Rhinolophus ferrumequinum: one gene and its partners. The protein of the gene in region 4 purifies or fractionates together with the protein of the main gene of each other region. This does not show direct contact. Links are inferred from orthologs where the notes say so. Each region holds a gene or a part of one and is shown on either strand. Other genes may lie near its edges.

Region 1 (7,199 bases), on a different chromosome or scaffold from region 4:
CCAGTCCCCGGCGCCCGGGGCAGAGGCGCACACCCCTTTTCTGCAGACTCACAGGTTTCAGGCCCCGCCTCCTCCAGGACCAGCTGATCTCCACCGCCCTTTAGGCCTGGAACCCACGCTCCCAAAGCCCTGCGTCCTTCGCTCCGGGTCTCGCGGTCCGGCCCCGGCCCCCCAGAGCGCCGCGGGCGGCGCGGTCAGCCGCAGACCCAGCTCTGGGCCGCGCTTCCTCCGGGTCCCGCGGGCGCAGGGAAAGAAGGCGGGGCGGCCCGGCCCGGGGCGGAGCGGCGACCGCGGCTGGGAGCCCGCCCCTACTGGCCCTCCGCGGGCCGCCTGGCGCAGCCATGGAGGTCTACATCCCGTCCTTTCGCTACGAGGAGAGTGACCTGGAAAGGGGATACACGGTAGGCGCGGTCCGCGGCCGGACAGGGCCCTGGAAGCCGGGCCGCGGTGCCTGAGCCCGGGAGGTGCCCCCGGCCGCCGCCGCCCCCGCGCGGGGGGTCCCTCCGCTCCCTCCCTTCCCCCGTCCCATAGGAAGGGCTGTGCCCCGGCGCGGTTGTCAAGGAAACGGGCACCCCCACCTCGGTGCGGCGGCTGCAGGCGCCGGGGGTCCCCGGTTCAGTCCCTTCCCCCTCCCTTTCCCACTCCCGATCTGGGGAGCAGGGGCGCCGGGAGTCGAGTCCCTAGACGCTGCGCTGGCCATTCTCCCGCCGCCCGCCTTCGGGAGCCCGGGCTGGGCTGCGTTGATTTCTGGCACAGCTGCTCCCTCTGCTCGTGGCGGGCTGATGTTGGCTTCCAAGTTCTGTAGGATTCATTCAGATGGATAATATGCTAATTTTTAAAAATCATCATTTGTAGCTGTTTATTAGCCACAGTGAACACGTGTACTGCTTTTAGATGGTTTCCAAAGTTTTTTTTTTTTCTTTCGAATTCTGCCGTGCCATGAAATAGTGAAATCAGGTATTTCATGAGCACCTGTTCCATACCTACGTAGGGCTGGAATCACTGAGAAATAAGAAACTGGGCCCCTGCTCTCTGTAGGGGAGGAGTGGGCGGGGAGGGCGGAGACAGAACCTGGGACCTTTGGGTAACAAGTTTAGAAAGTAAACAGTAGGTGCTTGATTTCCCAATGAATTTAGACAACTTTCTCTACGCAGTAGCCATTGCTAGAGGGAGAAATGCCTCCCGCTGGGTAGACCTTGGAAGAATTTATTTCCAGGTGGGCTTTGGAGAAGATTTAAGAGGGTAGTCTCAAAGGATTATTTTATTCACTTCTAATTCACTGACTTGCTAAACACCAGTTGCATTAATTTGGCAGAGAAATATTTTAACCTCTCTCTCCTCTAAATGTAACTGGGTTTCGGTGACAGCCTATTCAGAACCTTGTTTTTTCATAGGATTAAATCACCCTCTCAAAGGAATTTTTAGAATTAAGAGTTCTGTAGTGGTTGGAAAAAAAAATGCAGGGAGTATGTGGGTTTTTCGAATTTAAGTAGGCTGCTGGGTCCACGTGTCCCAAAACAAGTACTCAAAGTGCCTTCCCTTGGGGGAAACCTGCAACCAATGGGAGCTGAGCTCCTCGGTGGCCATTATTTGTATAGATAATACTTTCCAATGAATTAACATTTGGTTAAATACTCTGTATCTTCCTTTTAAGGAGCAGGGTATTGAAGTTAAATGTGAACTTATTCAAGGCTTTCTCCTTTTAGGCCTAAAACCTTGGCTGTCTTGCACTCTTCCAGGTATTGCACTTTCCATCAGCATCAGCAGCCACGGAGGGCCTGCCTTCTCTGGGGCATTCTTTTAGGATCTGAAAATAAAAAGGCTGCTTTACTGGGGGAGCTCCTTTACTGGTCTCAGTGGTCTAAGCTAAAAGTTAATTACCGCCCCCAAATAAGCACTTTTAAATAGATCAAAATTAAGGCTTATTAGCCATTTTTGATTTTCTTCTATTAGAGGCCCTGTATTTTCCTCCCAAGTTTTCATATATCTTTTTATTGGTCATATTATTACCAGGAATGTGCCAAACTCCACGTTGTAAATTAAACTGATTTGGAAGGAACCCTTTACCTGGTAAACTTGGTAGTTTATGTTGAGAGTCTGTGTGCTTTTTAAAAGTTTACTTTTTAAAAATATCCTAACTCACTTAACTTGGTAACTAGATTGTTAAGACACATTCTGCAAGTGATATTTTTCCTTTGTAAGTTTGTGAAGGGCTATTAGATACTTTGTTCCTTCTGAGCAACTATTTTATAAATGTATAGCAGATTATCCATTCAGCAGATACTGAGTGTCTGCTATATGTCTCTTCTAGGCCCCAGGAATTTAGCAGTGAAAAATATTTCACTTTAAAAAAACAAAACGTCAAAACAATCTTAGTTTCCTAAACAAGAAACTGGTAAAATAATATCTACTTAGGGTAAAAATACCTTTTACTTTAATGATTATGTTGTGTGTTAAATTTAAGAACTATATTGCATTCTAACAAATTCAGTATTGGGAAGTTTAAAGTAGAAAAGGGTGGTTCTTCCTCCCTGCTTCTAGTCTTACGCCCTCAGAGATAATACATACGTGTACTTTCTTAGAGACTCCCTCTACCCCGATGCTGTGAAAACATGTTTCTTCTTTTATAGAATAAATGACAAGATTGTACTATCACTGTCATCCTCCAATTTACGGATATCTTTCTGTGTCAATATGGATAGATCTGTCTCCTTCTAACTAGTGTAGCAAAGGGATCTTCCATAGAAGGAATGTACCCAGATTTGTTTACCCAGATCTCTGTGGGTGGCCATTGACATTGGCTTCTAATTTTTAGCAAAAATTAGAACTATGTCAAATGTTGAAATAAGACATCCCTGTACATGCTTTTTTATGCCTTCTAGGATTTCTGTAGAACATTTAACTAGGTGTGGTGCTTCTCAGCCTTCTAAAGTTTTTACAGATATTGCTCAATTGTTATTCAGAAAGTTTATACGAAGTTATGCTCGATGTACAAAGTAATTTTTGCCCTTTTAACATTTAAACATTTACTGTGAGTCTGCACTGTGTTGGGTGGGGAATTGAAAGATGAAAGAATGCAGTTTTTCCTTAAGCCTTCTCTGTTCATCAGGAAGGGCAAGGTAGGGGTGGGTTAGGTAAGGGAGGGTTAGGTAGGTGAGGGTTAGGTAGGGGAAGGATAGGTAAGGGAGGGTTAAGCAAGGAAAGGTCAGGTGGGGAGGGTTAGGCAGGGGAGGGTTAGGGTGACTGATGTCAGCTGAGTCTTGAGGAAGGACTCAGTTCTGTTCTGCCTTAGGGTGGTGTGCTGGGGGTGGGGTTGGAGGGTGCTTAGGAATGCTGACTTTTGAAATCTGTTTAGGTTTTTGCAGGATTGTGAATTCTGCAAAGAGGAAGTACAAGGCAAATATTTCAGGGGAAAGGCGTTTTAAACTCCTAGATTCACCAAAAAGCAAAAATGGGGGAGCTACTTCTAAATCATTTTAGTTTACAAAGAAGCAGGAAAGGATATTGTAACAACATGCCAATGAACTCAAATATTACTTCTTGGGGTGGTTATTCTCTACCCGCCAAGCTCCCCCCACTTACTCCCTCTCCCCCATGGCTTTTTTCTTTAGAGTCTGTTTCCCTGCTAGACTATAAGCTCCTTGAGGCTGGGACAGCGTCAGTCTCCACTTCTGTGCCCTGGTACAGGGTCTATCACATAAAGAATTCAGTACCTGTCTGCTGAACAGCTAATGAATGATTGAGGCTTCTAACAGGAGAAACGTATAAGAACAGTGATCCTGATGCAGGAAGCAGCTCAGTGGGTTGGACTGGCATCAGAGTGCAGACTGGAGTTTTTATGTCCAAACTTTTTCCAATGTTTTTCACCAAGGGCCATATTCGGTAAAATACACAAACAGCCGGGCCACTCACTCGAGGTGAAGTACGTATTGCCTCACCTGGTTTATTTAAGTAAACTAAATGTATTTTTGGAATTTGCTGCGGGCCAATTAACAATGGATTGCGGGCCGCAGTTGGCCCGTGGGCTGCAGTTTGGACACCCCTGCTCTAGAGCTACAGAGCAGGATGGTTTTCGAACCTCAGACAGTTGGAAGTCACTGGGGAGTTTTAAGGAAGGAAGTAACATGATTAACTTTGCATTTAGAAAGAAGACCGTAAAGCATGAGTCATTTAAGAGAAGTTTGCAAAATGACCAGAAAGAGAAGGATGAGGAACTGGTCAAAGGCAGCTTGGGAAGGAAAGGGGCTGACTACAAAGGATCCCCAGGGCCTGGTGAGCAGATGTGGCGCAGGGTGACTCTTGGGTGTAGGTGCCAATAACCATGTAAGAAGTGGAGCGGAGGGAGGGATAGTTCATCTGGGGACCTGTTGAGTCATTTTGTGGGGTGAGACCATTTGCTTTTGGAGTTTCTGGGCCAGAAAGAAATATGGCTCTAGGAGGTCAGTCATCATAAAAGATGGAAAAGCATGAAAGTTGATGCTTATCTCAGGAAGAACATGTGAAGTGAGGGAGGAGGGAGAACTGAAGGTAAAACCCTAGAACGTGCATGAGCAAAGAATTATTAGCAAGCATCGGGAGGGAGAAAGAAACCCAGCGGTGTGAGGCGGGAAGAGAAAGAATGGTGGATGCTTTACAAGAAGGAAAGTGCTGGATATGACTGAGAGTCCTGATATGGTGACTGTCCATTGGGCATGAGGGTAAGTAGGTTCTAGGTGCCAATATAAGCTGGTGTTTCCAGTTTCCAGGTACATTGTTGGTAAAACAACCAAACTAGAATTGCTTAGGTAACAACCCAAAAGTTTCAATGTATTAGATTTCATTTTTCATAGCAGTAAAATTTAAGGCATTCAGTTAGATGGTTTTTCAAGTCCATTGTAACTTGATGTCTTGAGTGTGCTGTGCTTATGTTTGTTGTGCAAATGTTACGATCTGGACTCTTTCTCTGATTTCTTAGTGTATCATGCTTTTCGGTACAGAGGCAGCTCTGTATAAATGCAGGGACCATTATTGCTTCTATATTTCATAGATTAAAACACAAAAAACAATACAATGAACCACCATTTATCCAGTACTCACCTTCAGTATTTCACAATTTTTATTTCATTCACCACCGGTCTTTCTTCCGTTTTTTAAAATTCTGGAATATTTTAAATCAAATCCAAGATACAATTTCACCTGTAAATATTTTACTATGACTATCTGACAGGTAAAATCTTTTTAAATAACATAACCAAAATGTAAATATTACCACAAAATCAGCAATATCTTTATATCATCTCAATGCTTGTTTATTCTTTTTCTTTTTTTAAAAACTTATTCACAGTGCAGATACTGCCTTGGAATTAACAGTGATCTGCAGGAAGTGTTATTGCCATTTTAGATTTGTGAGATTGAGGCTGGGAGGCTGAGTTAGAGGGCCTGGCTGCCTGCGTAGCCCTCCTCTCTCTGTTTGCTTTCATCCTCAGAGTAGCTTCCACCAGGTGAAGCAATGGTAACAAGTTGCAGATTTAAGAACTTTTTTTTTGTTTACTACAACACCTGGAGGGTGGGGGGAGATGTGGACATTTTTTTCCCCAGAAATTCTGAACACATACATCTGCCTTCATATTTCATTATCCCCCATTGGTTTCTGAACCAGTCCTGTTGCCAGGAGAATCCTGTGTGCCCAGTGACTGAGGCCAGGGCAACCGGACCCAATCACCATGGCCAGGATAAGTTCACCAGATAGAGTTACAATAGTTCGAGGGGCATCCCTGGAGTTGGGAATGAGGTCAGTCCATTTCTGCCATGTAACTGGAGACACCACAGCGGGAGAAGGTCAGAAGGACGGTGAGAGCACAATGCCCACAGCAGTAGCTTTCTGTCACTCGTTGTAAGCATCTGTGATGAAGGAAGCCTTTGTGTAGCAAGGACAAAGCTGGCACAGTGACTCACAGTAAGTGAACAGCATAAGCGAGCATGAAATGTGGTGAGTGATTCAATCCACCTTGTGTAGGACATGATCCTTACAGTACTTAAGGACGAGAAATACACTTTGACAACATTCTTGAACATTAACACACAGCATGCTACATTTGTTTAAAAAATCAAAATACATCCAAGAGGGTTGAATTTTGTAAATATGATGCTTAGAAATTTGGGGACAGAAATTAGTTTGTTTTCATTGAGCTAGAAATACATTTCAATCTTTTTTTTTTTTTAAGTAGTTTTTACTTTGTAATTTATTCTTATAATAGAAACTGTTAATTTTGAAATAAGTTTAGATTTACAGAAAAGTTGCAAGGTTAGGACTCAGAGTTCCTATATACCCTCACCCAGTTTCCCCATTGTTAACACCACGCATTACCGCTATAATGTCCAAACGAGGAAACTAACATTGGTACTACTATTAACTAAGCTCCAGGCTTTATGTAGACTTCAGCAGTTTTTCCACTGTCCTTTTTCTGCTCCAGGATCCAATCCAGGATATCACCACATTGCATTGTTTTGTCTGCTTTGGTGTGATACTTAGTAGTCCAAATTGTAGCACCCTGTTGCCTCAAAAATGAGGAAGGGGTGTTATCACCAATGAGCCTGTATAGATCAAATCAAATATTATTTCAGATGCTTCCTAGGTAATTATTGCCACTTGGGAAAAGCCTGTTTATAATATTCTAGCCAAAGCTACCGGTTACAGTCTAAAGGTGAAACACACAGACTGTGAACTCGTGGTGTCTGTATTGAATCTTGCCTCCAGCCTTTAGCCCGAAGTGTGACTCTGGGCAAGTTACCTAATGGCCCTGTCATTTTCCTCACCTGTAAGAGGGGACAGAATACTATTCCTTACTGGGAAGTTGGAGGATTAAATGAGATAATCCTTGCAAAGTGCAAGGAATGGTGTCTCTAGCTATGTTTGTGATTGATTCTTATTATTTCAAGTAGGGACTCCCTTGAAGTTTACTTCTTCTAAAGCTCTTTTAATAGCATTAATGATGTTAAAAGAAGTCCAGGAAAAATATTTATGCTATTTAAAATAAACTCTTCACAAATACTTTGAAGTACTTCAGAAGCAGCAATCACACATAACTTTCAAACTGTGTATGTCAATTCTGGTTTAGTTTTTTCAGCCTGTTTTTACTACATATTTTTTTCCCTTCAAGATCATAAATGCTAATATATGTACATCAATGTTTCGGAAATAGTATTATGGAGGGCATAGA
Region 2 (7,513 bases), on a different chromosome or scaffold from region 4:
CACCAAGGCAAGGTGTATGCTAGCCCTTCTCCTATGCTAAGAAATATATATATTCCATGGCTGCCTCTCTGTCCTCTTTTACTCTTAGAATGTGCCATTCGTGGTTATTTTAATCTGATACATCTGTGAAAAATGCTGTGTGGGAGTCAGCGTAGGAAATGCAGGAGAATAATAGAGATCACAGATTTTGCTTCCCCCACCTCTTGCAGCCAGCCCGGGGCCCGCCCTTCCTAGGGAGGCTTCTCAGAGGCCATAGCTGAAGTATTTGCAGAGCGAGGATGTTATGCTGCAGCACAATTCTCCCAGACCACTCCCACATCCAGAAACAGCCACCGGAAGATTACACATATTGTAGTTATGCAGAAGAACTGCTGGCTCCATCACTCCCAACGCTCAACTGCATGCATAAAACACGCTGCAGCTCTGCCCTGGATCTGATCATGGGAGCGCGGAGTAAGGTGGGGGTGGCAGGAGTGTGTCTTTCTCCAGGCCCAGGAGCAGTTATCCTATTCCATCTGTTTTGTATTATTTCACTTGTTTCTTCCAAATGCCCAAACTAATTAGACTTCCTGCCAATGCACAGAAACATTTCTCCCCAATGGTTGGCTCCTCAGGCTTTCCAGCACATGAGAGCTTTAAAAACCCTAATGCCCACGCCGTAAGCCAGAACAATTAAATCAGAATTGGGGGAGGAGAGAGTCCAGGAATCTTTGAAAGATCCTTCAGTGATTCCCAGGTGTTGCAAGATTGAAAACCACTGCTCTAGTCCGTCCCCCTATTTTATTTCGTGACCCTCAGTTCTACTAAATGATAGTTGTTTACTTGTCTTCCTCCACTAAAATGTAGGCTCCAGGAGTTCTGGACGCCACCTCTGCTTGTTCATTGCTATGTTCCTAGCAGCACCTAGAACAGTGCCTGGTTAGATACGAGGCACTCATTAAATAATTGCTCAGTTAATATCTGCATGCCTACACAGCCTCTGATTTCAGGGTTTGATGTAGGCAGCAGCTGCCACGTTCCTTTTCTCTTTCACTCGCTGGAAGGCACAATCACAAAAGGGTGACCCATAAAAATCCATAAACACCTTGTTCCTAGCAAATCTGAGTTTAATCAACAACGGTTTTTGTTGCTGATGTTTAATCTCCACTATCACAAGGCGTAGGCAGTGCTACGCAATGTCCCGCATCACCCAGTAAAAGAAGAAACTCCTTCGTGACATTAGGTACAAGCAGGTAGCCCTATTCTATTGACTCTGCTCTGATTGGCACACTGCCATAAGGAAAGGGGCAACGTCTGAGGCTCGCTTTAATGACCATGCTAGGGACGGTCATTTGAGGGTGTTTGTCAAAGCCAAGCTCCTGTCTATGGAAAGTGGAGCAGAGGCAGAGCAATAGAGCAGCCTGAAAACTGTGTGGGCGGGCTCTCCACAGGACTATCTTTAGTCATTCCCTCTATATAAATGGGGCAGGAGGGGACATTTCATAGACCCACTGTGAGAAGCACTCACTCTCCTGGAAGGGCACACACTCTGGAGAGAAAAGAGAGTTGTGCTGTGAGCCACTGTCTCCTGGGAATAACCCTGCCCATGGGTTGACAAGGCCACAAGCAAACATCCCCCAGAACAATGCAAGCAAACCAAATGACAGCTGAGGGGCATTTTAAAGAGATGGGTACACAATGTCTCACAACTCCTTGGTTTTGAACACTGGTTACAGAGAAAATACATCAACTACCTATCTGTTATCCTTTCCCATGATCCTGCAGACTCCATCTCCTGAGTCACCAAAGGGGAGCCCTTGATATCACACCTTTGCGGCTCCCTAATCTTACCACAAAAGTTGATAAAAATCTAATCTATAGTGGCGCAACTGACCTTTAAAATCATTCTCACGAGAAGAGGTACAAGGAAGTGACACTTTGTTTGGTTCCTTTTTTTTTTTCTTTTCTAGCAAACTCACAGCTGCTGAGGGAATTCTCCAAAATGGGTGAAGTACGGCTCCCTAGGTCAGGACACACAGTACCTCTAACTGAACACGCCCTTCGGGTCTTTATCAATAACAACGGGAAGATTGCACTTGGCTTATCTAATGTTAAGCCAGAATCTCTAGACACCTCCAGAGGCAGCACAGTCTTGGGGTAGGGAAACCAGGATGGGTGAAAAGACAAATTCAGACAAACCAGAGGCTTAGAGATGACCTTCAGGAGCCCAGCAACGGGCTCTTGACTTGAAGAACGCAAGCATCTCTGTGCCATAAACTCAGAAATCCAACCCTACCCTCACATCACAGTATCTCCTTTCCTCCAGTCCTTGAGCACACCCCTAAGAGCCCCAGACCAGGAGTCCCTGTTCTGTCACTCACTGGCTGCCAAGACCTTGGGCAGGTCAACTTTTGTCTCTAGGGCTTAAGAGTCTCATCTGTACAATGGAGATCATGATCTCTGTCCCACAGGAATGTCTGCGGCCCAAAGGAGGATAACACACAGTGCGGAAGCACTTTGTCAGAGAGTGAGCCCTGGCCCATCCAAGCCTTTGGTACGATGACTAATTGCTTCCCTGGTCCTGCCTTCTCCCCTTTGGAGACCCGGCTCCATCTTCCTGCCCCACCTCCCTCAGGCCGGGGTCTTCCGGCCGTCGGAGCTGGGGAGCAGGATCTCCCTCCTTTGGGTGGGGGATGACTCAGGCTCTTCGCCAGGCGCCCCAGAGGCCAGGCTGCGTACCCCGAGCCCGCGACCCGGCCCCGGGCCCCCTTACCTCCATCGGTTGATCCCCACGGAGGAGGAGGCCGCGAACCAGGGGTCGAGGATGTAAATACAGCGCACGCAGCGCGCCCCGCGCACTGCCGCCAGCAGCGCCGGGTTGTCGTGGAGCCGAAGCCCCTTGCGGAACCAATGCACTGAGGAGGCGCCATCCGTGCCGGCCTCAGGCGCAGGGGTCACTGCTGCCGCGGTCACCACAGCCGCCGCCATCACCGCCCTGACTGCTCCCGGCCACTGCTGTACAGCCCCTGTCAGCGCCGTGGGCCCCGCCCCCAGCCCGCCCAATGACCTATGACACCGCCTCTCCTCTCTGTGGCCCTGCCCCTCGGGCCCTGGGGCGTCTCTGCCATTGGCTGGGCGCCTCCCGCCGAGCGATTGGCCCAGCGGCGCCGAGTCCGGCCCCGCCCCCTCACGTTCCCACCATGTGTCGGTGGGCTTGGGAGCGGCCAGCGGGCAGGGCAGATGACGCAGGCTGGAGATTCTCGCGGAGATCTGGACACAGACGCAGTCTCGAAGGACAGCGGATCCCTTACATGCGTCCTATTCAATGCCTGTCACCGGAAAAAGCTGCCTGGGCTGGCGGGGGTTGCTGTGACTCCAGCCAGTAACATACGGAACCTGGACAACCGGCGTCCAGGTCACCATGTCATTAACATCGTCATCACCATATACCTCAATCTATTACATCATCTACAGCTACCATTTATTGAGTGCACTTTACATGCCAAACAACGTGATAATCTCCTTATACATACTGTCTCATTTACTACTCTCAGCCCAGTTGCATTTATTCAATAAACCCCAGTGAAAGAGCTGTTATTATTCTCATTTTACAGATAAGTAAACTTTGAGGCTGCTGCAGGTTGAGGGACTTGCTCAATATCATAAAGCTAATAAGAGGACTCCATCCAGATTATTGTGATTTCTAATCTGCTTTTATCCGGAAAGCTATATTTCTATCTGTGCTGAGCAACTTGACATTTGCAAGAGGCAGAGTCTGATGGGTAGCAGTAAAAGGGTTGAGAGTAGGAACTGGAAATGTGGAGGATGTGGGTTGCGATAGTAATTATGACATCAGATGAATTTATTTTCTTCTAGTTCTATGTATAGGAGACCCAATGGTACAATTGTGCTCAAACACTACTGGAATTCCCTGTGGGATTCAGAGGTATGAAGCACACTGTCCCCACTCCTGCCCTGGGGAGCCAGGTGGAGCCCTCTTATTCCTATGGAGGCTAGCACTGGGCTTGCTGATTGGCTGACTGAATGGCAAGACAAGCATATGAACACCTGCAATGAAGTGTTGACCTTAGGCTAAATGGTCTGGTCATACTGGAGCTCTGGGGTTATCAAGTGGAGAACAGTCTGTTTCAATTTGGTGCTAAGTTGTGCTAAGTTCCCATGCTTGGAACCCTTACTGAACTTGGGAATGAACAATAAAGGAATTTAGCAATTTTATGGTTACCAGTAAAATTTTATGGTTACCAGTATGGTACCAATAAAATTGTTACCAGAGCATCGTTTTAATGGTACACTCTTTTTCATTTCCAGGGCTTTGCACAAGCTGTTCCCTCAAGCCTGGATTACACTCCTCCCACCCCCCAACCCCCCGCCATCCCCCAATTCCAGTTTGCCCTGTGTCACTGCTCAGTATCAGTATAAATGTCACCTTCTTGCTGTCTGGTCTCAGCCTGCATAATGCCCCATCTCATTCTGTGTTTCTTCTTATTACTGGCCTTAGGACATGGTATTAGAATTTCTTACTTGTCTGTTTGCCCCATAAGACTATAAACTCCTGGAGGGCAGGGGCCATGGCTTATTTACAGTTTTATTTTCAGGGTCTAGCTCAGTGCTTGGCTTAGTGGAGTAAAAGTTGTACAGGGACTAGGGTCTCAGGTTGGCAGGAACCTTAAAAATCTATCCCGGTCCTTAAAAAAAAAAAAAAATCTATCTATCTCAATCCTGACTCGATCCTTATTTTTCAATCTCCTCTTCAAATGCTTGCTGAATAGATGCCACTTCTCCTCACTTTTCTTTTAAGGCTTTGTGTTCCCCCTCTCCTATCCCCTTTTCTCTCCACAAGATTGATGCTCTTCTTAGGAATGGAACAGAGTGTGAGGAGGTTAGGGCTTTAAAGATGTGTATTCTTCTCTTTTTCTCCTCTGTACTCTCATGATTCTTTCTCTATAAACTGTGAGTTCCATGAGGGCAGGGACTGTGTTTATCTTGCTCATCCGTGTGTTTGCAGCATTTAGTTTGGTACCTGACATGTAGTAAGTGCTCAATAAATATTTGCTGAATGATCGAATGTCATTTATCCCTACAGTATTAGGCTATCATTGACAGTCAGTGTGGTATAGTGGTTAAGCCCAACGTCTTGCACATTTGGAATGGCTGGGTTCAAATTCTGGTTCTTCTTTGACTCTGCATTACGTTGGTAAGTAATCACCATCAATCCCCCAAAATCAAACAAATCAATTATTTTTTTATCCTCATGTTGCCTTCTAGTCTTTGTCTACAAATATCTTTTTATAATTTTAATCAAAGCAGAGGTGCAGTATTGCATGAGTTTCTCAAACAAAATATTAAGCATGCTACGTCATTGTCTTTGTGTTTGTTATTTTAATTACTATATAATTCTTCAACAAGTTGATAAAGATGAATTATTTTATTGAATGATTGCATATTGCTTGGGTATGTTAACAGGGTAACATTCAAGAATCAGGAAGTAAACCTGGCACTGGATACAATACTGGAGTGCAACGTCCACTTTTGGACTTCACACTTTGAAAGGGACATGGAGAAATTGGAGCGAGACCAAAGAAGCCTGTAAATTGCGAAGGAGATGAAATGTAATCGTGTACTATTATATCTTTGAGAGAGTGAGGTTTGACGTCATAGCTATATATCTTGTTATTTACAAGCAACTCTGAGGAGTGGTTGCCATGAGAATGCCAAACAGTTGCTCTTTGTTTCCCCTAAGGATAAAATAAAAGAATCTAGTGTGAGCTGGGAAGAGTAAGAGATTTAAGGAGGGATTTAGTGTAAAGTGATTTAGGAATGAGACAAATTAATCAGATAGTGGGAAGTTTCTTTCCTTGCTGAAGATATTGAAGAAGGCAAACATCGGTTCTGTTTGTCTCTTTGTTACATCCTGCATGGAGACTAGATTGGGCAATTTTTTACATTCCCTTTGAACTGCGTTTTGGGTAAATACTTGATGATTGGTTGAATGGTAACCAGGATTAGGAGGGAGGGACGTCGCTGGAGAGTTTAAATTACCAGCGCCCTCTAGTGGTGCGATTGGGAAAGAAGCAGAGGGCCGGTTTCCGGCTGAGGCAGGAGCATCAGGGCCCCGCCCTCTTCCTTTAGTCACGCGGCGTTCTGCAGTGTGTAGCAGTGGAATTCTTGTTTCCATGACTTCACGCAAGAAACTGTAAAACTTATTGAGAGCATGGACTGAAAAGGCAGACTCCTTGGGTTCCATTTCCAGCTCTGCCATTAACTAGCAAATTATTTACTTGGGCAAGTTACTTAGCTCCTGTGTCTCAGTTTCCTCATTTGTGAAAGGGGGAAGAAGAAGATGATGATGATGATGATAGCGGTGCAGCATGGGATTGGAATAAAATAAATAGACAAAAGTTTCAGAATTGAGAATCCGGAAACCGACTCTCCCATATCTGGTATTTTATTCATGACAAATATGTCTATGTAAAGAAGTGAGGTAAAGGTGGTTTTTCCTGTGATGGAAATGGGTCAATCAGATATCCCAGTGTAAAAATATTAATCTTGACCCCTATCTCAGAACATACAAATCAGTTCCAGGTAGATTATATGCTTAATGGGAAAGATAAAACAGTAAGGCTTTGAGAAGATTATATAGGAGAGTATCCTCATGACCTTCGGGGTAGACAAAAAACTCTTAAGACATGGAAAGGGCTAACCATAAAGGAACAGATTAATAAATTGAACTATATTGAAATTATGCACTGCTGTTTATCAAAAAACATTATTTAGAGAGTGAAAAAGCAAATCATGGACCGGAAGTAGCCGTAACACATAATTCTTAAAGAGCTCAAATCGAGAATATTTAAAGAACTCTTAGAGGTGAAAAAGAAAAGGAACACTGGCAGCCCCGTGAAACTTGTTAAAGGCCAGAGACCTGAGCAAACACTTTCCATTCCCTCTCCCACAAAGGATATGCAAGTGGCCAATGAACACATAGAAAGGAGCTCACCTTGGGGAAACAAAAACCACAATGAGATATCACTATAGACCCACCAGAATGGATAAAGTTAAAGGACTGACAAAACCAAGTGTTGGGGAAGATGTGAGGAATTAAAACACTCATACACTAGTGTTGGGAATGTAAATTGATACAACCACTTTAGAAAACTGTCTGGTGTTAATACTCAATTTGAACAACTACATACCCTACGGATTGTGAATGATACACCCTATGACGGAGCAATTTTTTATTCCTACCACATACCAACCAGAAATCTGTGCACATGTATGGCAAAGACATTACAGAAATATTCATAGTAGTATTGTTAGTAATAGTCCTAAACATCCATAAGTGGTAGAATGGATAAATAAATTGTGGTGTAGTCAAACAAAGGAATGCTATACAATAATAAGAATGAACAAACTGTAGTTAGATTCAACAACATGGATGAATCTCATAAATTGAATATTGAACAAAAGAAGCCAGACACAAAAGAAAACATTTATATATGTATACATTCACAGCCAG
Region 3 (7,739 bases), on a different chromosome or scaffold from region 4:
TCTCTTGAGCTATCCAAAAAGGCTTTTGCCTCTGACACTACTGAAACCACTCTATCAAGATTATGAATAACCTCAAAGTGCTAAATACAATTTTTAACTTTTAGTCTTCATCTCACTTGACCTATCAGCAGCACCTGATGTCCGTAAAACATTTTTGAAATACTTTCCTTACTTGGTCTATAAGACACTACACTCTTCTGGGTTTTCTTCTTACCTTACTAGATGTTCTTTTCAATCTCCTATGCTGGTTCTTCCATAGCTCCACAATTTCTACACACTAGAGCACCCAAGGCTCAGTCCTTGCACCTCCTCTCTTTTCTATCTACACAAACTTTCTTAATGTTCTCATATAGTTTCATGACTCCTCTAGAATGTAGCTTCAACAGGTAGGGGTTTTTGTTTTGTTTTGTTTTTTAGCTATTTTGTTTATGCTGAATCCCCTGCACCTAAAACAGTGCCTGCCATGCATTGGGTGTATGACAAATATATGGATGAATAGCTTTAAATATTATCTACAAATTGATGACTCACCGATTTATACCTCCTGCCTGGATCTCTGCCCTGAACTCCAACAACCGATTTGCTATCTCCACTAGGATGTGTAATAAACATCTCAAACTTAACCAAGTTCAAAAGAGAACTCCACTACCCTCCCCCAATGATTTCTCTGACTGACGTCACGTTCTTAGCAAAGTGCAGCTCCATCCTTCTAGTTCCTTAAGCCAAAAATTCTGAAATCATTCCTAATTCCTCTCTTTCTCTCACACCACATGTCCAATCTGCCAACAAATACTGTGGATTCTGTCTTCAAAATATATTCAGCACTTTTTGGCTACTTCTCACTAAGTCCACCACCAACCATCACTATGTCCAAGCCATTACTACTTCCCACCTGGGTGAATGCCACAGCCTCCTAACTGGTCTTCCTGCCTCTTATCCTCCTGCACCCCTCCAATTCAGTCTGTTCTCACAGCCAGAGAAATTTTTTTCAAACTTAAGTCAGAGCATGTCACATCTCTGCTCATAATCCTGCAATTATTCCCACTTTGCTCTGAGTACAAGCCCAAATCTTAATAATTGCCTAGAATGCTCTACTCAATCTAGCCCTATTTCATCTCTGACCTCATCTACTTCTTTTCCTCCACTTCTGCTCCTCATATTCGTTTCTCCTGCTGTTTCTTCCAAAGGTGAAGCACATTTCCACCTCAGGGCCCTTTCTCTTATGCTCCTGCTGCCTGGAATGCTTTTCCCCTAGACATCCACAATCCGTATTTGCTTCATCACCTTGTTCAACTGCCACTTCTCTCTGAGTTTTTCCCAATCACCACACTTAAAATTACAACTCTAATCCCAACTCCTTGTATTCTTCCCCTTTCTGTTTCGTATTTCTTCATCCCCCTTCTGCTTCGTATTTCTCCATAGCATTTATCACCACCAAATACTGCATATCTTACTTTCTAGGACACCTGCTTACAAAGGACACGAATCGTAGTCGGTTTTATTCACTGCTAGTATATCCCCTGGAGTTTAAAGCAACGCCTGGTATGCAGTAGAATGCTATCATTTCCACCAGGGGGCCTAACAATCAACTAGCCTGGTATTTCAGGAAAAAAACATCAAGCTTCTCTACTATTTCTTCCACTACTCTGATCCCTAGAAGGATTATACTTTGCCTAGAAAGAAAAACGGTGCTTTGTCCAGTCAACCACAAGGAGGAGTTGAGAGGCAGAGCTGAGCAAAGAGAAACCAGATGTTTCCCTTGCTTTTCCTCCCGCAACCTCAAGGTGGAAGAAAACGGGATTGGGAGGCGACGGTACTGAATGAATGATGTTCTCCATACTACGATTTACCGAGACCCACACACACATACACATTAAAAAACACAATCCTTTCCGATGCCACAAGGAGGCCAAAGAAATCAACCCACGGGCCCCTGAAAAAGAGGAGGGTGTTTCTTTAACTCCACCGCGAAGAACTCCCCACAAATCCGGGAAGAGAGTTCCCATTAACGCAGACACGACATTCACGGCGGAGGCCAAGGCGTTCCCGGTGGCCAGCACTCCCTCGCCAGCGAACTATTAAACCCATTCTATTTCATACTTAAAGCGTCTACAACGTTGAAAACGGCACAAGCAAGGCGGTCCCAGGTTTAAGTTCTCCGACTGGGCCGATCGCGTGTCAAGTCCCGATTCCTGAAACACCGAAATCAATTTCCCCCGGGATTCTGACTCACCGCCACCTGTTGATGCCCACATTGGAGGAGCCGGCGAACCAGGGGTCGAGGATGTAGACGCAGCGGATGGTGTCGGCACCCTGAATGCACTCCTTCAGGGCGGGGTTGTCGTGAAGCCGGAGCCCCTTTCGGAACCAGTGCACGGCGTTCACCCCCATCCCGGCGGCGCGGCGGGCGGCGGGTCCCCGCCGAGTTCCTCCACGGAGAGAATCAAGGAACGAGGGTCCGGCTCATACCCGACACCTCGGCTTCCAGGAGAATCGCCGCACCCAAGGAGTAAGAACAGGGCGGCCGACGGGGGGAGAGGAAAAAAATGAGTCCGGGGAAGGGACCAGAGAGTGAGAGGGCGCTGGAGGCGCAGCTGGAAGATGAATGGAGGTTAGGTTGCCCAGTCAGCGGAGTCCGGGTGTGACGCCCTTTAGGAGCCGGCGCCCGTCGCAACGGCCTGGACGAGTCGCATAACTTCCAGGGCCTCGGACCCCCAGAGGGTGAGCAAGTTCCAAGGGCTCAAGCCTCCTCCACAACCCGAGCCGGCACCCGCAGCCCCGGGAGGTTCGTCACGGAAACCTCACCTCCCCGAGGCGGCTCCTGAGAAGAAAGCGGCCCGCCCGAGGCAAGCCACCGAGAGGGATGAGCGAAGACTCAGCCCCCGTGGGCCACGCTGCCTCTCCGCCCAGAGACGCGAGTGAGGACGGAGCGCGAAGCACGGAGGCGGTGGTCCAGGCCGCTGGACGGTTGCCCGCCGGTGACGGGTCCCGAGGCGGCCCGGGTGACTCCGCCGACACCACCGCGTCAGAGGCCCCGGCCCCGCCCCCGGCTCCTCATTGGAGGGCGCGCTGGCCACGTGACCACCGGCACATCACGTTTCTGAAATGTGTTTACTACAGCGGCTCTGACTAAGGAATGTGCTCGCGCTTCAGTTGCTTCTAGGGGCCGACAGCCTTTGGGTCTCAAAACCGTCGATCCTCGCCCAGCCACTGGGCTCTCGGTCTCTGCCCCTTTTCTCGGCGGACTGATCGCGGCTGCCTGGATGCCCCCGCGGCGATCACAGGCCCCACGTGAAGGAAGGCTTAGCTCCACCTTTGGGGGCCGCGAGCGTCCACCATTGGCTGAGGCTTGCTGAGACCCGGATGAGCACGGGGATGCGGGGAGCTCGCGGGCGCGCGCTTGGCTCTGGAAGGGGCGCGTGCGCTCTTGCTGCGTTCCAGGGGTCAGTAGGGCGGGGCAGGCGAGCGGGAGCGCGCTCAGGGATTCCGCTGTGGGTCCCCGGAAGGCCTGAAGACGCACTGGTACCCATCCAGAGTCAGCGATGGCTCCCCGCGGGGAATGAGGGCACGGTAGAGTGGGAGAAGGAGAGTTGGAGGATCCACGTCGACTTTGATCCCAAATCATCTGCTTCAGTCGAGCTTTGTGCAGAGAACCCTACTTTGGCATGTGTGGAGCTGGCGCCCTTACCAGTCTTCTGGACCTCCACGCTGTACCCTTGGACTTGGTCTGGGGAAGAGGAGTAATTGGCAGGGCGAGTGCCAAGCACTCCTAGACTGATTGTATTTTTTTAATACTAGAGCTGTAACATCAGTATGTCAGCCCTAGTCTCTTACATTTAGTGTGGTTTACAGGGCTCTTTGCCCACCTTTCCAACGACAGTGAACTGCAAGCCATTCCTTATTCGTATGATGCCCTTATATTCATTCAACAACCAGGCACTCTTCAAAGTGCTGTAGATACAGGAGAGAAGAAAATAGGCTAAAATCCCACCCCTCTGTAGAGTGTACAAGCTGTATGTCAACCTTTACATGTGCTATCTTTTCCTCTATAAAATGCTTTTCTTTGGAATCTGCTGCTCCCTACAACCACCTTTACCCTACCTAGTATATTTCTGCACATTCCTTTAGACTCAGATGAAATGCTACCTAATTTCTGAAAACAATCCTTTCCCCAGAGCGGATTAGGACCTCACCAAATCCCTCAGGCCTGTCTCTGATACATCACTTATTGTAAAGATTGAATGAAAAGTGCCTATTTGAACACCAAGTACGAAGTAGGTGCTCAATAATTGTACTTATTATCATGTGTCTCTGCTTCCCTCTGAAGTGTGACTTCTCAAAGACAGGCTCCATCCATTTCTCTTTTTTTTTTGCGTTATCAATACCCAGTACAGAACCTGACATATATGCATTCAAATGTTCATTGAATGAATGAATTAATGAATGCTGCTTGCCACCTGTGTGTTTGGCAAGGTTAAAAGGAGAAAAGATATGGCAATTGCTACTGGTTGAATTGTGTCCCTCTACAATTTACATAACCCCTGTGAATGTGATCTTATTTGGATATAAGGTCAAGTTAAGATTAGGTCATTAGTATGGGCTCTAGTCTAATATGACTGATGTCCTATAAAAAGGGGAAATTTAGACACAGACCCACACATAAGGAGGTTGCTATGTGAAGATTGGAGTTATGCTGCCACACACAAGGAACTATGTACTCGAAGCTCAGAGAGCAGCCTGGAACAAATCCTTCCCTAGAGCCATTAGCAGGAGTACAGCCCTGCCAACACTTTGATGTCAGACTTCTGGTCTCCAGAACTGCGAGACAATAAATGCCTGCTGCTTTAAGCCACTCATTTTGTGTTGTGTTACAGCAGCACTAGCAAACTAGTAACAGTAATAGAGATTCAATTATCTAGTGAGCCAATATATCTGGATAGTATTCCCCATCCTTGCCTCTGTTGCATATAGCATCCTTTCTTTGGTTTCTTAAAAACAGTTAAATTGTTATATGTGAAAACCCTTTGTTCACTATAAAGTATTAAACAAATAGTTATTTTTATCAATGGGGATGATTCTTGGGTAATTACCACTCTGAGGGATCCATCACCTACGCAGAGGATGTGGCGTATAGAGCTGTGCCCTCTCCTGGATTGCCTCATACTCCAGGGCCTGTTGTACTTTTAAAAATACAATTTCATGTTTCATTTCAGACAGTTTGAAAGTAAGCAGATTGTGTCTAAAGACATAAGAATTGTTTTCAAGCATCCAAATGAAACAGTGGGCGGTAGAGAAAGAATATTGATTTGTGTAGAGTTGACTTATGTTTGCCGATTGTTCATTTAATAAAGATGGATTTTTTTTAACAGACAGCTGTAGGTGGGTGTATGTGTAATTTTCATTTACACATAAAAGTACTAATTTATTATAAAAGTGTCAGTATTGTCAACTCCATTCCACAAAAACGAGGATATTTATGGCATGAAAACAGTTACTTTAATATATCTGTTATTGGGGGGAGTAACCACTTAATAATAGTTATGGCTTATTGAGCACCTACTGTGTGCCAGGCACTTTATATAGGTTATTATTACCCTCACAATAATATTTTGAGGCAGCTCATTATTATTTAATAATAATTTATACCTATGTCGCTGAAGACACTAAAGCTCAGAAATACAAACAAGTAATAAAACTAGATTAAAAACCAAGACTGTTTCTTTTTTTGTTTTTCTTTTTTAATTAATTTATTTATTTATTTATTCATTTTTAATTGGGAATATTTTGGGAACAGTGTGTTTTTCCAGGACTCATCAGCTCCAAGTCAAGTCATTGTTTTCAATCTAGTTGTGGAGGGCGCAGCTCAATGGTTCATGTGGGAATCGAACTGGGGATGTCGGTGTTATGAGCACTGCGCTCTAACCGACTGAGCAAACCGGCTGCCCCCCACGACTATTTCTGAATCCAAGCTCTTTCTTTATGATATACTACCCTCATTGACACCACCACTCCCCTTCATTTTCAGAATGAGTATTTGTATTTAAAAGGGGAAAGAGAGATGGGGAGCATTTCAGGAATCTTGTGGAATTCTGCTGGGCTCCAACATCATGGCGGTAGAAAGAGAATAGGACTGGGTTCTATTTCAGCTCACCATTAATTAGTTGACTCCAACAAGTCACTTAGACTTTCTTGATCTGATTAATTCATCTATAAAATGAAGAGATTGAAGTAGATGACTTTTAAGTTTTCTATGCTATTTTAAAATTCTAGGATTCTGTCAACACAACCCTGCCATGGGCTCAAAAATATCTAAGAGTTCTGTTAAACATTTTTTAACTGCCACCAATGTTAGAAAAATCGATATCTCTTTGATTTCATAAGCACCCTTGATAAAAGTATGTCAGCCTCTAAACTGAAAGCCTGTGTTCTCTCTTGACCCCATCTTACAGAGGTGATTTTTTTGGCATGCGTTATCAGCACACAAATAATGAAGGAGTAGACAGTGTGATCAGCTCATTCAGTCTTGATGTGATGTGAATGTTAGTGATGTAGAATATTTTCTTTGTGCCGGGATCGTGTCTCATGAAACCGAAGAATGGAAGCACGGACCAAGGAGAGGTGAGGAGTTGTGAAAAAGGATAGTTTATTAAAAGTAAAGAGTAAAGAGTTGCAGCTCTCAGAACGAGAGGGGGTCCCGACCAGGGTGCTCAGTGACTAAAGCAAAAGCTCTTACTTTTATACCTTCCCGTGCCAGTTTGGAGAAGGGAGCTGGGGCCTTATAATGGAATTCATCTATCAGGTTTGTCCTGTTTGCCCACCCTAAAGGGATTAATGAACCCATTCCTATGTATCAGATTTGTTCCTTTTGTCCAGCCAAAAGGAATTTATGAGATAATTTATTAACCTCAAGGCGCATTCTTATATCTGTGTCCTGGAGTGAAGGATATGGCTGCCTTTTGTTTATTCCACCAGGGACCTTCCTGTCTACCTAACAACATGCTAGCTAATCTGTCTCATTAGGCTGGTAGCCCTTGGCTGAGGGATTCCCAACACTAGAGTTGTTGGGGGATTGAATTTAAATGTGTTAAAGGATCACTTTTTTTTTAAAGGTAAAAATTATGACTCATATGACTATAAAATGAACACGTCAAAGATTTTACTTAACTTGTTAATTAATGAGGGAACCAGTAAGATGTTACAATGGAGTAAAAGAAGGTTTCAAAGAGCAGTTACATACATAGCCCATCAGGAATGTTAAAAATGAATTTACTTAATATATGTAAAACTGGATTCTTCTACACAGGGGTGAGGGGAGGGAAATCAATTGCACTTGCACAGGACAAAATGTATTTCCATGTCCATGGACATGGTTCATTTGCATTGCTATCAATCAGCTACAATTTACAGAGTTGTAAAGTAGTTCAAAGATAAAAACAGGCAGAGAGTAATTTGAAAGGTGTAACTGACAAGAGATCCAGTAATTTTTTGCCTGTTTCAAAGACATTCATAATTTTTGTCACCTCCTCAGAGGTCTTCCAGGCAGCCCATTCTAAAAAGGGCCCCCTTCTTTGTCTCTATCATAGTTCCCTATTTACTTTCATCAGAGCACTAATCATGATCTTGTAGACAGAAAAGCTGTCTACATGATCATGTAGACATGTTAAACCTGACAAGCTCAGGGGAGGCCGACATAGCGGGCCGTACCTACTCAGAGACTGAAAATAACTGCACAGCATGGC
Region 4 (7,852 bases):
TATGTAGTTTCATGAGTCCAGCATTGCAGCCCCACACAGCGTCTCCCGGCCCAAACACCCCCCTACACCCCAGCACCACTGCTCTCCTCACTGCCTCCACAGTTTTGCTTGGTCCAGTTTAGCATGTAAAGGGAATCATACACATGTAGCCGTTACATGCTGGCTTCCTTCACTTAGCAATATGCACTTAATTCATCTGTGCCTTTTGTGGCTTGATAGTTGACTGCTTTAGTGCTGAATAATAGCCAGATGTCTGAATGTTTCGGTTGGTTTATCCATTCATCTACTGAAGGATATCTTGGTTACATCCAGTTTGGGGCAATTATGAACTAACCTGCCATAAATATTCTCAGGAAGGTTTTTGTGTGGGTGCAGGTTTATAACTCAGTTGGGTAAATACTCCAGGTTGCTATAACAAAATACCATAGACTGGGTGACTGCAGTAACAGCCATTTATCTTTCAAGGTCCTGGAAATGAAATCCAAGATCACGGAGCCAGCAGCCCTGGTGTGTGTTGGGAGGGCCGCTTCCTGACTGTCCTCGTGTGGCAGGGGGCTCGCTCTCAGGCCTCTTCTTATAAGGGCACTAATGCCATCGCCACTGCCAAAGGCCGCACCTCCTAACCCCATCACAGTGCTGGCCTGCACAGCACTGCCCGCCCCCCACTCCCAGGCCTGTGGGTGAGCCCCATTGGAGAGCATCCCAAACTTGCCCTGACTTGACCCCGGAACCCTCAACTCCTGCATCAGCGCCAGGACGCCCCTCCAGAGGCCTCCTGACAGAACATGCTTGGGGTTGACCAGGGCTGGGTCACTCGACCCAGAGTCAGGCTCAGCGAGGCCTCCATCCAGTGGGCAGAGCAGCAATCAGGCACTGGGCTCGTTCTAGGGCGGGGTCTCCACCCTGTGCACTGCATCCCTGACCTCCAGGTCTGATGTGCCAGCAATCCCCCGATTGTGACAATGGGACACTGCCACATGTCGCCCCACCCCCACCCCAGCTGAGAGCCCTGGTCCCAGCGGCCCAAGCGAGCTTTCTGGGGACGATGGAAATGCTCTGAGCTGTGCTGTCCGATCCCCGTGCCACTGAGCATTTGGACCATGGCTACCAAGGCTGAGGAACTGGATTTTTACTTTTAGTTCATTTTAATTAATTTAATAGCCATGTGTGGCTAGTGGCTGCCTCTAGAGCAAACACTTGTCAGCGCTAGAATCCTAGCCAACCCTGACACCCCCCTTCATGAGGCCTGTCATGCGGGGTCTCAGCTCCCACTCCCCACAGAAGAACACAGGACATGGTGAGGCCAAAAAGGAACACCCACGGAGCCATGGATGGGGGTTCACACCACTATAGTCTCGCTGGCGGCTGGGTTGGAGACACAGGAAGCAGGAGCCACACGATCCACAACCCGCCATCCGCTTCTCTGCCAACCCCCCAACCCCCCAACGCAGCCCCGGCACTTATATCAGTGGCTAAGGGCTAACCGGTAACAGCTGATGGCCACCCAGCCACAGCGGACGGCCATCTACTACCTGAGCCAGCACCTTTCCACGTGAGGCCGAGAGCCTGGAAACTGCTCCTTGGGACTCTGTCCCCGAAAGGCCTCTGTCAGCCTTGCCTGTGCTCTGGCTGCTGCTGGGAAGTTGCTTGTGAGCCTCTGCGCGCCCTCCCTGTGAGCCCCCTCCCCCAGACCAAGGTAATTCCTCCTTCAGATCTCAGGGACGGTCACCTCCCTATGGAAGCTGCTGGAAGCTGCGAACTACAGCCTGGTTCCCGCGTGTGGTGTGGCCTGCAACCCGTCTGGTCCTCCATAGTCCTGGCCCAGTTGGCAATCACTATTCCCTTTGTGATGGTTGGCTTCCCTAGGCCGGAACTCCGTGGGCAGGTGTTCATTAAATGGGGATAATCGTTAGTGCTGGTCCCGTCGGGCATCGGCATCGGCCTGCGGGTGAGGAGTGGGCACAGGTCCTGCCTCGCCGGGGGGTCTTAGTAGGAAGCCACTGTCCAGTCGGCACCATCAGCTGCTCTGGTGGCAAACATCACTGCTGCTGCCTGCGTGACGGCTCCTTTTCCAAGTAAACAGTAGTTATATAAACAGCTAATATTTATACAGCAGTTGTTTCCAGGCCCTGTTCTGAACTGTGCCCGTGGTAACCCTCTCACCCTTCTCCACAGCTCTAGGGTTCGATGATGTTATTCCTATTTCACAGATGAGAGCACAGAGGCACAGAGAGGTTGAGTTACCAGCACAAGGGTGCAGAGCTGGAGGCAGAGCGGGAACTGAAACTTGGGCACCTGACCTCCACCCCAGCCCAGACTCTCAGTCACTGCCTTTAAAGGTAGTGGCTCCTCCCCTCCTGTTCAGTCCAGGCTGGGCTGTCTCCATTGTAGCAACCATGGGGCTGGGAAGACCGGGAAGTTAGCTGAACAAAGGTGTGTGTGTCTGTGGGAGGAGAGGGGGAAACACATTACAGGTGCAGCATTTGCAGGGGCCCTGAGCAGAGACATTGACGCATTCAGGGAACTGTTATCATTCCTGTGGGATGGTGAGGACCCTCCAAAATCTTAGCACGGAAGCTGGGTTCAGTCCCCAGAGGCTGACCCATGCTTTTTTTTCAATTCAGATAAAATTAACATAAAATTCACCATTTTAACTGTTTGAAAGTGTACAGGTCAGTGGCTTTGTGTCCATTCATGATGTTGTATACTTGTCTGCTCCCTAGTTCTGAAATGCGCTGGTCCTCCCCAAAGAGGATCCCCAGGCCCACCAGCAGTCTCCCCCCAGCCCGCTCCCCAGCCCTAATCCGCTTCCTGGTCTGTGGATTTGTCCGTTCTGGACACTTCATGTAAACAGAATCATACAGCATGTTGCCCCTTGAACCCGGCTTCTTCAGTGTTTCAGGGTCCATCCACATTGTAGCAGGTGTCAGAGCTTCTTTCTTTACATGGTTGTGTGATAATTACTCCACATAGGATAAACTACATAGGGTTTATCCATTCATTCATTATGGATATATGGGCTGTAAAAAGTTGCTTACATGTGATAAATAAAACAACGCTGCTCTGAACATTTGTGCATACATTTCTCTGTGGACAGATATCTTCAGTTCTCTTGGGTACCGACCTGGGAGTGGAGCTTCTGGGTCACATGGTAACTCTGCCTTTATCTCTTGAGGAACCCCACACTGGCTTCCAAAGTGGCTGCATTGTTTTACATTCCCTCCAGGAGTACGAAGGTTCGACTTGGGTCGGTTTTAAGCAGGCAGGGCTTGCATGGGATGTGAGCTCTAGAACCATCTTTATAGCCATGCTGTGGACAGCAGCCTGTGGACAGTAGGCTGGGAGGCAGTGAGACCTGTCATTGGGGACGAGCTCTGATCAGACAATGTAGTTTAACTTCTTGTTGAAGTCATGGGGAGTCACAAGATGTTCTGGAGAGCTCATGTTACTGATTACGTGTTGGCTGATTATCCTGACCAAGTTTGTGAATAAACAGGTGAAGCAGGCAGAAACCTGGGGCCTGGGGTGGTCCAAAGAGCTGCCACTTCTTTCTGAGACAGGACACTGAGGCCCCAGGAGGGGACTGCAGGCCATCAATCAGCCGGGGCAGCTCAGGGAGTGGTCCATTATGTCCAGGGAGCGGGCTCCAGGCCCCTTTCTGGTTCCAGTTTGCACTTGTGGCTTTCTCCGGTGGGTGAAGCAGGCACTGCCCATCATCAGTTCTGCCACCATGGCTATTTTACTAGTTTGTCAAAACCCACCCCCAGCCCTAAGACTGAAAAACTGGGCAACCACTGGGCAGGGACGGAGCCATTCCCGATTGCCCACCAGTCCACCACGGACTGATTGCTCAGGAATTGATGCCGGCCTCACCAACCGGACCTCCAAACATTTTCCGACAAAGGCTGCTCTCCTGAGGCTGCCTGTGCCACAGGAAGGGCCTGGTTCTGACCATCTGCTCCGGCTACTCTAGCCCACACCTCTGTGCACACGGGAGTGTGTTTGCTAGATGTCCAAACATATATGTTAACAGCCTGTTTCACCGTTGCCACTTTAGCCGGGGTTGAGGATAGGCCTAGAGACGTGTCCATATGGAAGCCCTTTCTTCTCAATTTGGCGGCCTTTCCCAGACTCCCTTCCCAGTGACTGGAGTGGAGTCCAGATCAGCCTGAACTTCAACGTTCCAGCTTTCTTTTGCAAGGAAGAACTTTCAGACCGCACACAGATTAGATAACAATGCTGACTAAGTCTCCAGGCGGATGGGCCTGGAGAGGCGGACTGTCCGGGCCTCACCCTTTGAAGCCCTGGTAGCTTCACCTTCACCTTCACCCTTCAGGCCTGACGCCAGACCCGAGGACGTGTCTCTCCGTCCTTCCGCCCTAGGTTTGAGTGTGTAGGACGGGACGTCAGGGGCAGTGGCAGGCCGTGCTGCAAGCCCTGGACTGCACAGTAGCTAAGTCCCGAGCTGCCAAAAGGGCCGTGCACACCTCTGTCCCCTGTGACCCGGCCAGTGTCACTCCCTCCCGGCGCCGACCCAGGGCGGAAGGCCCTCCTCCTTTTGAGTGCGAGGGCGCTGCCTGCGGGCCTGTCCCGGGTCTGTCGCCAGGAGCCGCTGGCTTCCCAGACACCCGCGGGGGCAAACGTGGAGGCTGCACACGGGAAGCGGCCGGGTGGGAGCTGCAGACCTGCGACGGGGACTTCGGGCCACAGAGAATAAGGGGCTGGCCCCGGCGTCGGTGGTTCGCAAGGACGCCGGAGCCCGCTCGCCCCGCCCCCTGGGCAGCGCAGCCCCGCCCCCGGCAGCGCGGCCCCGCCCGCCGGGTTGCTAAGGGAAGTGACGTCACAGCGCGATGGCGGCGGCTCCTTCAGGCAGCTGAAGGGGGATTTAGGCCCGGAATATCCGAGTCCATCCGCGACGGGGAGAGGGCGAGCGGGGCCGGAGGGGGCCGGAGCAGGGGCGGCGGCGCTCGGACTGTCCCATCCGCCCCTTATTGAGGCGCTGGGAACGGCGGGGCGGCCGGAAAGCGATGGTGAAAGCGGGGCCGTGAGGGGGGCGGAGCCGGCAGCCGGACCCGCAGTAGCGGCAGCAGCGGCGCCGCCTCCCCGAGCTCAGACCCAGGAAGCGGCCGGGAGGGTAGGAGCGAGCCGGGCCCGCCGCCGCCGCCATGGAGCTCAGAGTCGGGAACAGGTACCGGCTGGGCCGGAAGATCGGCAGCGGCTCCTTCGGAGACATCTACCTTGGTGAGGCGCCCCTCCCCCGGGCCGGGGCCGCCCCCAGCCCGGCGCCCGCCCGGGACCCCGCCCCCGGCCGCTGACCCCGGCCCCGCCCCGGGACCCGCTCCTGTCGGGACCCCGCGGCTTCCAGGGGACCCTGTGGCCTTCCCGAGCCGCGGCCCGCGCCGCCCGGCCCGAGGGCACCTGCCCCAACGTGCGCCCGGCGCCGCCACCGGGCAGTGGCCGGGCCGCGGCCCGAGGCCCCCGCTGCCCCCGCTGCCCGGCGTCGGCGCCGGTGACCCGCAGACGGACAAACGCCGTCGGGCGGTGTGCGGCCCCCGCGTCCTGCGCGCGTGCGGTGGGCTGGGCGGGGCGGGGCGGGCGGGACCGGCCGGGCGAGGCTCCCGCGCCCCTCGGTGCCCTTCGCGACCAGGCAGCCCCGGCTGAGCGGCCCCGGCGGGCGTCGGCCGGGCGAGCGGTGCCGCGGACGTGTTGCGCATCCGAGCCCCGACTGGGCGCCGGTTAAAGAGGAGACGTTGACGGGGCTGGAGACCCGGTCCGCGCGGACGCGACCCGCTGTCCCTCCGCGCTTGTCCCTTGGGCTGTGAAATTGTCAATATAGATTTGAGAGCCGTGTTAGTGTTCGAATGTTCTGGGTTGGCTTAGGTTTCCCTCGAAAGGACGCGCACGTGCACGTGTGGAATAAGAGGAGGCTCGAATCCCACAGTTGGACGTTTAGAAAGAAGGTGTCTGCGTTTCTCGGGAATCGCCCGTCAGTTATGCCCCCACCCCCGGATTGGGACCGTCCAGCCCGGCTCGCGACCGCGACCGGTGTGCAGAGGGACCACCCTGGCACGTTGGGGATTCACAGGCCCCGCGGTGGGCAGCCCGCTCTGCTGTTTCCCTCTGGTCGCTGTGCCTGTCAGGGAGGGTCGGGAGTACTTCCCTTGTCGGTATTTCTGGTGGTGCCTGCACCTGAGCCCAGGTGTGTGCGCTCACCGCACGCACGTCCTTCTGTCTTGTCACCTGGAGAGGACGCAGGGCCTTCAGAGGGGCCCACACGTGCGCTGGGGAAGTTCATCACTGCTTCTGGTGCCTCGGTGCCCTGCAGAGTACCCCCGTCACATGCCACATTTGTGCCTACTGTCCTGCTGAGTAAAATACACTTTGGAGACACTGGGATTCTTCTATTTAAATATTTATATGCAGTAGTCAGCCGAATGCGTTCTCAGCAGCGTTTTGGGCCGGGTAAGTGCAAGCTGTTTGCCTTATTTATAGAACAATAGATTTTGGCAAAAGTTTTAACTTACGATCTAGGAGCTGTGCTGAAAAGCCAGTCCGTTAGTCACCCTTGCACAGGCATCAGAAAGTAGATGCCTTGAAATTTTTTGTCCTCTGGTCAGACTTCCCAGACAGCTCTGTGCTTTCCGAAGCTGGGTTTGGACGATTGCATTGTGGACCAGTTGTCACCAGGTCAGTCACACGATGTAAACTGTCTCATCGGGAGTGGGAGCTCGGTGGGGACCCACCTGCCCGTTCACCACGGCGTCCTTTGGGCCTCAGCCATGTGGGCGCACCTGCTACAGGTCCAGTTGACCGGGCCCGAGGGGTCTGTCCTCGGTCTCTGTCCCTGTGCTCTAAGATGGATGGACGGTGGCTCTCACGCCCTCCTGAGCACCCACACAGCCCACCGTCGGGGTGCACGTGGAGGTATTGTATGGGACGGAGCATAACCAGGCGTCTTCCCTCAGCATTGGCTCTTGGCCCACATGGGGGTCCTTTCAGGCTGCAAGTTACCCACTGAAAATGTGAAGTGACCTTGCTAGTTTGAGATGTGGCTGGAAAAGGTGGGTCTGAGGCAGCTCACTGTGTACTGTAGTTAAGGGTCAAAGATGACAGGTCCAAAGAGCAGGGGATGGATTGCGTTATTTGTACTGTAGTTTTTTCCTGTTTGTTTAGGCCTCTAATTAGGCATCACTTAAGGAATTGAGTCCTCCTCGTGGGAATCGGTATGTTCGTGGAGGGAAGGCTGGCCTCCAGCTTGCTGCGCGCCTCGTGGATCAGGAAGGCCCAGTGCTGGCCTGTCTCCTGGTGTCCTGCAGGCTGACTCGGGCATGCAGCACTGGGCCCTGCCAGGTCACTCCAATCGTTCCCCAAATTGCCCCTTCAAAGGGGGGCAGTATCTCGGGTCTGATTCTCCCATGCATGGGCTTCAGAAAGTACTTGGACTGGGGCCACCGTGGACCCCAAAACGTATAGTCTTGAACCTCAGTCTGCCTCCCCCTAAGCTTGACCGGTCCTGAAGGCTCCTGGGCAGGGCTGGATGGGGAGGCCTCAGTGCTCACGTCCTGTGTGCATGCGTGCAGCACACACTTAGGCAGAAGGAATTGCAGGTGGGCGTGAGGCGAAGCTTCTCACTCTCCGGCCTCCCTCAGCTTGAGCTTCCCGCAAGCTTTAGCCCCTGGTGGCTGGAGGTGAGGTGTCTTGCAAAAGGCAGTGGGTCCCCGAAGTCGTTTCGCTTTGGTGGCAGTGTGCGTCTCATACGTTTGATAATGTTCAAAAACCAAGGGAGAGCCAGTGTTCTTAACGTGGACCCGTGTTCCAAACCCCAGTGTGACTAGGAAGCTGGGGTGTGCGG

What was found. Proteins that work in one complex are often made in the same cells at the same time.
Region 1: the proteins of CSNK1D (region 4) and SNX24 purify together in Homo sapiens (affinity purification with mass spectrometry; 3 studies listed by BioGRID and IntAct, counting the BioPlex papers as one, with this or other methods). This does not show direct contact. The link is inferred for Rhinolophus ferrumequinum from reciprocal best matches to the Homo sapiens genes CSNK1D and SNX24.
Region 2: the proteins of CSNK1D (region 4) and CRY2 purify together in Homo sapiens (affinity purification with mass spectrometry; 3 studies listed by BioGRID and IntAct, counting the BioPlex papers as one, with this or other methods). This does not show direct contact. The link is inferred for Rhinolophus ferrumequinum from reciprocal best matches to the Homo sapiens genes CSNK1D and CRY2.
Region 3: the proteins of CSNK1D (region 4) and CRY1 purify together in Homo sapiens (affinity purification with mass spectrometry; 3 studies listed by BioGRID and IntAct, counting the BioPlex papers as one, with this or other methods). This does not show direct contact. The link is inferred for Rhinolophus ferrumequinum from reciprocal best matches to the Homo sapiens genes CSNK1D and CRY1.

The regions. Positions count from the first base shown.
Region 1 is NC_046290.1:84,382,230-84,389,428, forward strand, and holds the start of SNX24 (sorting nexin-24), read left to right. Parts: upstream 1-4,190; 5' UTR 4,191-4,206; coding exon 4,207-4,272; intron 4,273-4,397; exon of another isoform or gene 4,398-4,691; coding exon of another isoform or gene 4,692-4,697; intron 4,698-7,199. UniProt on the Homo sapiens protein: May be involved in several stages of intracellular trafficking.
Region 2 is NC_046294.1:15,001,911-15,009,423, forward strand, and holds the start of CRY2 (cryptochrome-2), read right to left. Parts: upstream 3,010-7,513; 5' UTR 2,968-3,009; coding exon 2,753-2,967; intron 1-2,752. UniProt on the Homo sapiens protein: Transcriptional repressor which forms a core component of the circadian clock.
Region 3 is NC_046293.1:13,616,321-13,624,059, reverse strand, and holds the start of CRY1 (cryptochrome-1), read right to left. Parts: upstream 3,010-7,739; 5' UTR 2,392-3,009; coding exon 2,234-2,391; intron 1-2,233.
Region 4 is NC_046304.1:54,977,488-54,985,339, reverse strand, and holds the start of CSNK1D (casein kinase I), read left to right. Parts: upstream 1-4,847; 5' UTR 4,848-5,165; coding exon 5,166-5,241; intron 5,242-7,852. UniProt on the Homo sapiens protein: Essential serine/threonine-protein kinase that regulates diverse cellular growth and survival processes including Wnt signaling, DNA repair and circadian rhythms. It can phosphorylate a large number of proteins.